Drosophila melanogaster: one gene and its partner. The protein of the gene in region 1 interacts with the protein of each later gene in a pairwise test. Each region holds a gene or a part of one and is shown in the gene's direction. Other genes may lie near its edges.

Region 1 (5,506 bases):
GCTACTACGTGTCGGTGGCACTGATGAAGAACCACTTACGCTTCCGTTGCTGCCGCTGTTGCTGGAACTTTGTCCCGGTTGGTAGTTCTGTTGGACGGTGACAATCCTCGGAGTGGTGATATTTGCCGCTGTCACCGTCTGACGTCCAGTAGGCTTGGGCGTCACAGAGAGCTGGCAATCCGGCTCCAGCATGCTGAGCAGATCCGGTGTGCAGACCACTTCGTTGTTGGAAGCTTTAGCGCGCTTGGATGGTGGTCCCGGAGGAATGGTTTTTGGCATGGATCCCCGTTTACTCGAGCCCGCTGAGCTGCCCTGGCTGCGTTTGGAGACATTGGACTCCAAGCTTTCCATCGAGTCGGATAAGCTGCTGGTTTTCGACTTCGCCAAGCGACAGCAATTGCTGTTATCCTTAAGCATTTGACGTCGGGCCTCCACCTCGGGAAGCTGAAGGGTTTGTAGGGCCCTGCATTACATTAAATAAGAAAAGTCAATTTAGAAAGAGATTAATCACTATGATAAGTGAATGAATGAAAAGACTTAAAGATGCCATAAGCATAGACAAGTAGGACTAAAAACCGCACCTTTTCTGCGTCTGAAGATAGTTGACCAGCGCCCAGTGTTGGGCTCGTAGTGGCCACAGGATCTTGGAGGTGCAGCTGAAGCAGTTCCAGTTCTCGTTTTGCTCGATGTCCACGATGACGCCCTTGGAGAGGTTCTTCACGATGCACGACTTGCAGAAGACGTAGGGGCAAGTGGAGCAGCAGTATACCTCGCCGCCCTGTCCGCACCAGCGGCAGTACAGCTCAGAGCCATCCTCGCCCTTGGAGAACTCGCCGCTGTTGTAAAAATCGTGGCACTTGACGCAGTGCGTCACCCGCAGTATGGGATGCATCTTGATGTTGCTCTCGGCGGCGGGTGCTGTGCCCAGGTGAAGCTTGCACACGGTGCAGTGCACCTTTCGCTGGTTCACCAGATCTACGTTGGGGTACATCTTCAGGTAGAAGCGGCGCTCCTCGTCTGAAAGCGAGGGGTGCATCTCGAACTTGGAGCCTGCGTTGCGGGTATATGCAATTTATATGCAATTTTCCACTTGGCTGATGCCCAGTACTCACTCGTGAAATCCGCATCCAATTTGGCCAGTGGCGATGGCGACGGCGTCGCTACCTTTGCCAGGCCACTTTCGCTACCCGGAGCACTGTTACTCATGACTTCTGTTCCGTATCCGGGCCTCTTGGACTAGAGCACTGCGATCCGCACCAATTTTTGTTCTAAAACGCGAAAAATTCACGATTTTCTGCTGCCGCCGCAGAAAAAAGCGGCGCGCTTATCACTTTTATGTTTGGCAACACAATAACAACAGGGCTGCAAGGGACGCGTGTTTACAATTATTTATTAGTTGGGCAAACCGGGAAAAAATATTATTGGGAGATCCTGTACTGAATGCTTCGCAGCAAGTCTCCTCGAAAATGTGTCAGATTTTTTCACCCGAGAAAGACAGCTGAATATTCCGCATCAAATTCAATATGGCTGCCCCTTCGGGTTCCAGCCGAAGTAGGCTCTACGAAGTCTATATAACAAGTTCGGACCGATACTCTAAAATTTTCTTAGGAAAACATGGCTAAAATTTTGATCAAAAAGAATATTTCTTTTTTTTTGGCATCAGAGGATCATTAAATTAGCTATAATATCACTCTAATATCACAACATTTATTGTAAATTTTTTTTAATCATTTCTATCGTTTTAAAGGCTGATAAATATATTTTATATTTTAAAGAATGTTTTCGTATTCGTTAGTCTTTGCAAGCCTTGGCAACCCTAAACTTACTAGTCATCTCTTTTACACTCATCGTCCGTCCATAAGAATCCGAACGCGTTAAGAAAGAGACAGCATATATGTGTTATTTACGAAAAACAAGAATTTTTTAAACAAATCAATATTCCAAATTGCTTTATATTTTTAACGTTTTAATTTCTCCCGCATAAGAAATATTTGAGATATCTAAAGCATTTGGCGAACTGGTTCCAGGCAATCGATATATGTGAGACCGTATAAACATATCGAGTTAACAGAATTAGTAAATCATGACTTCACATAAAATCATTAAAACAAGTTTTCAGAACGCAACAACTGATCTTCAGACAACTTTTAAAAATAAATCAAGTAAGATTTTGGAAACATAAATTCCACAATGTCAAAATATCAGTAAAAATAACTTAAAGTAACTCGAATAACTTGAACGAGGAAATCTTAATGAATAGTTGATCAAAATAATCAGTCAGAAATAGGGAATTTTATAATTGTACACATATTAGTAAGTCGTAAGGTTTCGTATTATGAACATGTAGATGTTGTACTAAGCATTTCCTATTACTATTTTAAATATATAAATATATAAATAGACATTTATATATAAGAATTTCTTTATTACAAAGTCAATTGATAGTCGCTCATCGTTTCTATGTTACAATTACTGTTTACTTTTCTTGACTTCTTCAAAATATTTAAAATATGAACATATGGATCACATTAGAAATTTAATAAATCTTTTATGTCTGGTATTTACGATATAAGCAAATTTATAACTAGCCCGAAGCAAATTCTGAATCCTTTGAAATACCTTGACAATTATGTTGCTAGTATTAAGTTAATGTTTTTATTATTTATTTATATATTTTTATTAATGTTTGTTCTACTCTCACAAAATTTTGTATATTAAAAGATTTAATATATGAAATCTGTATCGATAACTATATCGATAAATCACATTGAGATATTAGAAAATTGAAAAAGGCAATAAATTTTTTCCAGTTTTAATAAATAGTGATGGGAAACTATCGATAGTTGCGCCATTCGATATTTTCGATGTTTGGAGAGCAAATTTTCGATATAACTTTAAAATAATAAAAATATTAGCAATTTTAAATGTTTTTCTCAAATAGGTATAGTTACCTTCCAATATTCTAGAGGATCTGTATTTTCCTCTGAGTACTTCGGATTAAAAAGCATTACAAAATTTTTCAATGTCCTACGAGATGGAAGCTTATATCGCGTATCAAATGCTTTCAGTATATCGCGAAATCCATTGTCCTCCACTACTGAAAATGTGCGCATATCAGTGGCTATGTACATACTTCATGATAACTCGCCGAGTTCTGCTATCCGACGAGAACTCGAGTCGTAGCTTGGAGTCACACATTAAAACTTTTCCACATTGTGAATATTTCGCGGTCTTACCATCAGTTGATTTAACAAAAATGAACAGCACTATCGATAGCGACAAAAAACCATCGATAGTGGCTCAGAAAAGTAAATATCCGATACCTCGATAATATCGATTATCCCAGCACTAGTTCTATTTTCACAAAGATGCAGCAATATTAACAAAGTCATTTATAATTTATTATTATTTAAACAATATAGATCCTTTTAAAAAACATTGAGCTAAGGTACGTCCAAAAGATTTAAAATAAAAATTGAGAATGTGGTGGTAACTTGCTAAAAACAACTTCTCGCTCTTTCCTCATTATTTTGTTTACAAAACTTTTAAAGCAAAGGTTGTCTTGGAAATTTATTCAGTATTTATACTTTCTGTAGTGGGCTTCAGATATTGAAACTGACGTCGCTCCAAGCAAACGAAATGTAAACATATTTATATATACTAAGCATAAATTAGAACGTTCCATTCGTTCTGTTTACTCCCACCCAGATTTTGTAAAGGATTATCGGTGGCCGCAATGGAAAGTGGGTCGACTGCCAAGACGGGCGATTTCTTTTACGGTTGGGATCTGCTGTACAAGACCGTTAAGGCTGATGTCTCCAAGAAGTCAGACCTTTTGATTGCCCTCGTCCATTTTCTTTTGACCAAGCATTACAACTTCCGATGCGTTGGCGTTGGCGATGATGTGAGTATGATTATGGCCACGCATATTAGTGAAATCATCTGGAATTCCATAGAAAACCTTGCCGGAGGAGGAGGGCAGTGAGCTGCTGCCGGACAGCTGGAATGATGACGATACCAAGTACTCGCTGCGCTACGTGCACGATAAGATGCTGTATTTGCTGCTGGGCCACATCACCGAGGGCTCCCTGCTGATCAACCTGTTGGACATCAACACTAAGAAGGTATCCAACATCTGCGTAGAACCAGAGACCCTGGTACCTGAGGTCAAGGGAGGCATCACCACCATAATGCCGAGTGCCTCAGAGATTGTTGAACGCTACCGTAGGGAGCTTCTAGACCCTGTATTCACGGGAAACTCGCGCGAAGTTACCACGCAGACGACCAACTCACCACGCCCCATTGGATCGGATCCAGATCCCTTGCGCATCGGCGAGCCAAGGCGTGGCGGGTAAGAACACTTGTGGATAGTTTTTTATACACTCGTTAATCGTTTCCCCTCGTTTAGATCCTTCATTCCAAGTGCATTCGAGCCTCGCCCTTTTGGATTTCCGGACGTTGGACGCGGGGATCTCGATCCACTGGGTCGCGGTGGTCATGGTAACCTGTTCAGCTTTCCATCACGCCCAAATATGGGCCCGGGACCCGTGCCCCGCTTCGACCCGTTCAATCCCCTGAACCCGAATAGGCCGGGACAGGGTGGAATCAATCCAGATCATATGCGCCCACCAGATTGGAATCCCGATTACTACATGTAATTACCAGGAATGCCATGTATAGTGAGCAATTCAAATCTTTAGTTTAAAGCAATGAAAAAAGTTTTCATTTTAGAAGACCAAAATTAAACGGATTGTTTTAAAAGATTATTTTTATTACGTTGCATACACAATACAGAATATTACAGAATTTTACAGATATAAAATAAAAAACAGCAGCCTGTTAGACAACGCTTGTTTGAGTTTTTACTAGAAAAATTCGTAGTTAAGAACATTTATCAAGTAAATACGCAAACAGGCCAGTTGAGTTGACGGCTGCTCAAGAGAAATTTACAATATACTTAAAAGCTTAACTGAACTCGTGATGTAATGGCTATTCATTCATTTCGTACAACAGGGTAAACAAAATTGGCTCAAGTGCGTAATCTCAAAATTGCTAGGGGAAAAGCGCGAAAAATCACGGCACTAAATGTTACAATGGTTTGCGATTACTCTTGTTTTTTTTGTTGCTGCTTATGCCTAGCCTAATATTATTTTACCATAATATTTTGCTAAATTAATATAATGTAAATAATATTTCAAGCTGTGTGCAGCCGGTTGACTTAAATTAGCTCTGCACGGTAGGCGTCGTTCCCTCTCACGCCGGGATGTGCAAGTGTTGTGGTGTGTTTTGTGCCTTGGCCGCTCAAAATCCGGCTAAAATCCCGCCCAGGTGCGGTGTGAACTACGCTCAGTCCCATTCCCCGATGAACATGCGTGGCGTGGGCACGTAGCCGCGCGTTGGCAGCGGTAAATGGCGTCCGTAGATGTGATTGTAGGGTGATTCAACAAGCTCCGAATCTACAAGAAGCACAGAAATCCGTGGTTAAAAATCGGGTGCGTGTACAATT
Region 2 (5,231 bases), on another chromosome or scaffold:
CACGCAGTACTGAACCAACGCTGATCGAGTGAGGGGCAGAAAAACCATGTGCCTGTGGCCCTTCAGCGACATATTCTCCAAAAGTTGACCCTGGGTGGTGGGGAGTTCTGACAGGATCTTTAAAATGCACTGGAAGCCCTGGAGCTGTGTGAGAAATTCATTAAGGTTTACCCATGTGAAAAAACTGGCTCTCTACTTACCGTCATGCTGCCTTGCATTAGATTAAGGCTCAAGATCTGCAGGCTTTGCACCAGACTGCTCTGGGTGGTCATGTCCGCCATAAGCTTGTTGGCCTCATCCCGGTGTCCGAAATATATGGCCAAGTCGAAGAGGAATCTTGAGATCCAAGGCGCCAAGGGAAGAGCCAGCATAAGTTGACTGAAATCCCTTTGGAACTGATCCGTATTGAGCAGCTGCCAGCACTGGGCGGCGTGTAGGAAGGCCTTGGATAACTCTGGACTTATGGCCGTGGTCAGGGAGAATTTCGGTGGCTCCATGCTGGGCACTTCGGAGCCATCACCTTCCGGCGACCATTCCATGAATCCTTCTACCAAAACATGAGTTACATCGGCATCCTCGATCCTCAGCTTACAATTTCGTATATAACCATGAAGGGAGTAAATGAACAAGGTGGTGGCGTAGAACAAAACCTGGGAGCTGCCCGCAGGACTGCCGGAAAGTATGTCCACCAGCTTTTCCCAGTAGACGTTCTGGTTGACATGCTTGCTGAAGGGCAGGAAGGGCTCCCAGCCCATCATCTGACCGCAGATCATCAGCACTTTAAAGATGTTCTTCCAGGCATCTGCTGTATCCGATTCATCCATTATTTGCCGCAAATAAAACTCCAAGGAACTGGTATAAAGTCTGCAGGCCAGATTTGGCGAAAGTTCCGGGGGCTTATTCTGGATCATGGGCAATACCTCCTCCACCAGAATCCGCTGATAGAGATCCGGTTCGGTTTTCATGCCCTCCGCCAGCATTTCCAGTAGCCTGGGAGCCTGAGTTATGGCTGATTTGGGAAACTTGTTGAACATCAGTATGTAGATATAGATGCGCTCCAGATTATCGGCACTGTGGTTGATGGTGTGCATGAATATGTTGTGCTGTACTTCCGGAGTTAGGTGCTTGTACATTTTTACATAGAACTCGTGTTCCGGCGTAGTTTCATTCTCATTTCTGAGGGCATTTGTTAGGGAGTTGATCTCCTGCCACAGCTCCGTATGTTGATTCTGGAAATTGGTGGCTCTGGAACAGTAAAAGATAAAGTAACTGGAATAGATGTGCTATTGTATACTCACATAGCACTGAAACACTTTGCTGCCTCCTCATAATTCTGAGCATCGCGTTCCAGTAGATAAGCCTCGTATTGCAGGTTGAATGCATTGGGATATAAAGTTTTAGCTGTGATAATCCAGGCCATGGCCGCGCAAGGATCGCTTTTCCGGAGTCTTTGCGCCTCCTTGACCATGTACAACTCATTTTCCTCTTGGCTCGGCATGTTTCTTCGGGTATATCTTTTGTTTTTATTAATTTTCTCCTAGTTTCAACAAAAACAAACCATTTAGCCGGCTATTAGGAATTTATTTACTAGCACTGGCCATATTTTTCTATTAGGGATGGGAACTATTGGATCTAGAAACTAGCTAGAGATTTCAATTATTTTCAAAACGCTTGTTTAGCATAGTGCGCTTGTTTTAGTTACATTAGGGCTGGCGTTATTGAGTCATTTCAACCTAAAACGCTTTTTATATCAATATATGTTCGGTGAATTCGAAGATATTTAATTTTCAGCTTGAATATAGCTAGCTTAACAAGCGACTCTCTCCTCATCTGCAATCGATAACAGCAGCGGCAGTAGTGTTGCATAGTAGCTGCCAGCCAGCTGATTATTCGCTAAATAACCAATTGTTTTTTCGCGAATTTTTCAATTTTCTGTGATTTTTGCGGCTACAAAATCGAAAACTATATTAAGCAAAATACATACGAACCTGGCAATTGCGACTGCTTATGTAATATCTGTGACAAACCAAGTTTTCTAGAAAATACCTGCCGATGCGTCGTTGCGCTTTGTTTTTGTTGCGTGAATAAGAATCGTTGGATATTTGTACATTCGCAATTTGTTGTAAATATGTTTAAATCTTAAGTGCCACAGCTTATCAACGAAGTAATATAATTGCGATTCCCTCCTTTTGTTAATCAGTCCCACTATATAGCACTAAATATAAAAATTGAGTGCACAAATCGCAGTATGCCCCATTTTCTGATTGTCATTCCGAAAACAAACAATGACAGTCGCATTGAAAGTTTAAATCAAATCGTTTCCCAGAAAATTCGTACGTAAATATCTGAAATGTCAGACACTAAATCCGAAATTGAGGGCTTTATAGCCATTCCCACGACATCGGGCGAACAACAACAACAACAGCCGCAACAGCAGCAAAATGAGCAACAAGTGGTCGGCACAAAGGACATTAAAGCTCCTGATCAGGGTAAGTTGTGTAATATTTATAGAAACTTACTAACTTACTTAAGAGCGCTCTATGTAATTGATAAATGGCCTGCAAATAACAATCGTTCATTAGTATCTTATCATATTCTATATCGTAAAATAATCTTAAAAAATACGATTATTGTATATATTAATATTTAGTTGAGAGTATCACTGATATCTAGAAGTTATTCATAATCTATAATAGAAATCATTATTTAATACATATCACTTAACAATAGATACTCATAAATCATGATAAACAAGACAACGTACACTAATTCATGCATTATGCTAATAACAATCTGCTCATTCTATAGATATTTTTTTAACAAATTTATTTGTACCTGTTTCTATTGTTAGTTTATAGAGCAATGTGTTTTTCATCCACGAATTATGCATATCTATTTACTCATACCTTGAATCACTTAACTTGAATGAAGTTCCTTAGACTTTCATTCCAAGATCGGCGACTCTCTTCGATGAATCATCAAGTTAACCCCTTCGAATAAAAGTAACATAAATTCCGAAAAACCTGTTTGATTATTTTGTAAATTGCTTCAAAAATGTGACGTTATATTTATTGTAATAATAGCCGTTTTAATTGTTCAGTTCCAACTTGTTTAACCTAGTGTCTTATCAAATATATTATGTAAACACAAAATAATTCTAAGTTTGATTAATTTTACAATTTATTTTAAAGCAAATTGAGTAGTGAATTAAATATTTATGTCGTGTTAGACATAATTTTATTTACAATTTCTTTCGTGATTTGTTTTTGAATGCAAGTGTTAATTTACTTAATTTATTTAAAGTTCTACATCAGTCTTAAAGTCTTAACGGGAGTTTTGAGTTTACTTCTGTGTTCTATATTTTGTAGTGTCAAAATGTATTGTATATAACTACCGGTTTGAGTTGTTGCTTCCGAAATCCGCACATAGCAGGTTTGTTTCTGCAATTTTCAATCTTCTCCTAACCAACCAACAGCACAGACAATTTCACTAATCATATCCTCGAGATTCTGTTTAAATATAAATACAAATAAAACTCGTTGCAGTGGGGAAAAAGCAGCGACCACGTTTGATACAAGAGAAGAGCACCCAGGAGACAAATCCGTTGATCCTGGAGCATGCTACTCTGGAATGGGTGCCGCAGCATATGGATAAGCTACTGAATCAGTATCAGGAATGTCGCAAAATGCCGGCTGCCGAGTGGCTTCATTTGTTGACTTACCTGGTGGCCCTGGAATGCGGATTTGTGGAGGAGGAGACATTTGCCCAGAAGAGACACCTCATTCAACCCGTACCATCATTTAGCAGCTTTCACGCCCAGAATGTGCGAATCCTGAGCGAACAACCAGCTAGATATGAAGTGTGCTTCAATGACACCGTCTATATAATGCGACTGAGAACACTATTGGACAAGCATGCTCCCGAGGAGACTTCTCTGGTGGCTGCCCTTCAGTGCCGGCTGATGGCCGTCAGCCTGGGGGATCAGCTTATGATCACCCTGTCCCCAGCACCTCCGTCGAAGGAGCCTGGCTACAGCGTCAGCCTGTCTATCGGACGCTATGTACTGAATATTCAGGCGAAGAACAAGCCCATCTACCATCGCTTTCGGAAGCTGGATGAACTCTCATATCAGCTGAAACAGCACTTGTTCCAGCCCATGCGATCGCAGCAACTAATGCAGATGGAGATGAAGCTACAGCCCTCGCTATTGGGCCTCCCGGACGAATTGTACTTCGAGATCTTCAGATATCTGGACAAAAGCCAGCTAAATGTGGTGGCCAGGGTCAATAGACATCTTCATTTCTACAGCAAGGAAGTGGAGCGAAAAAGGCTAAAGGGCGGCAGAAGCTAAGCTCTTGTTTTAATCGAAGCCGGTTTAAGCGATTTTATAAATATTATTATATTAATAAATTATTAAGTGGTGCATAAAGATTCTCGGGAATCATTGTATGTCAATAAATATATTTGCTTATTCAAGTAAATGCCTTGTTAAGAGCTGAAATACAACACGTCTCTTTATATTCTCTGAAATGTTTTAAATATTAAGACGGATTTTTACAATAAACTATCCTCAAAGATAAAGGGAATATTCCTTGCTTTATTTGGTGGAAGGCATGGATTTTTTCAATTGAAAAGGTAAATTCGAGAAAGTGATTCAATTAATTAAGCACTTCAGTTTTCAGATAGATTTTAAGTAACAGGGGAAGGTGTTTTAAATTACTGAAGCTTCTTATGTTTTGTTTTTTTACATATGTTTTAGTAAGAGTAAGAGTAAGAGTAATACCATATATTTGTGTTTAAATTATCCTTTAAATTGTGTCCTTATTGCATGCATTTATACGACCCGCTCCATCAGCAAGGACAATTGTGGATCCTCCGACGCCCTCGGCTGAGTCCTGCAACTCCTTCGATATCTTTGAGCCACCTGCCACGCCCCTGGATTCCATTAGCCTCAAGAGCAGTGCCAGTAGTTACCTCTACGATCGTGATATTACAGGTGAGTTGCGTCCACGTGTCCGCGCCACCTGTTCGTCGGCATTTCACCCCCCCCCCCTCCGCCCTTTATGACCGAAAAGAGGGGTACACGCCCCTAAACGAGTCGGCCCTCAACCACAGAAGTGCAGAATGCGAAACAAGCTGCTCCAGCAGCCAAAAACACGCGCCGAGATTGTCGCATCCACAATTCCCAGTGCCCCCAAAAAACCCCAAGCCCCCATTCGCCATTCCATCTT

What was found.
Region 2: the proteins of PI31 (region 1) and ntc interact in binary tests that used the Drosophila melanogaster proteins (3 or more experiments, as listed by UniProt).

The regions. Positions count from the first base shown.
Region 1 is NT_033778.4:11,966,682-11,972,187, reverse strand, and holds PI31 (proteasome inhibitor 31 kDa), read left to right. Parts: upstream 1-2,072; 5' UTR 2,073-2,162; intron 2,163-3,337; exon of another isoform or gene 3,338-3,448; intron 3,449-3,533; exon of another isoform or gene 3,534-3,708; 5' UTR 3,709-3,736; coding exon 3,737-3,904; intron 3,905-3,956; coding exon 3,957-4,351; intron 4,352-4,408; coding exon 4,409-4,658; 3' UTR 4,659-4,845; downstream 4,846-5,506. Other genes in the region: ADD1 (ADD domain-containing protein 1), read right to left, coding at 1-463, 582-1,050, 1,113-1,206.
Region 2 is NT_037436.4:3,803,079-3,808,309, reverse strand, and holds ntc (nutcracker), read left to right. Parts: upstream 1-1,850; 5' UTR 1,851-2,350; coding exon 2,351-2,489; intron 2,490-3,545; coding exon 3,546-4,351; 3' UTR 4,352-4,478; downstream 4,479-5,231. Other genes in the region: IntS10 (integrator 10), read right to left, coding at 1-144, 201-1,245, 1,299-1,498. UniProt on the Drosophila melanogaster protein: Functions together with PI31 to control non-apoptotic caspase activation during sperm individualization. Positively regulates PI31 stability.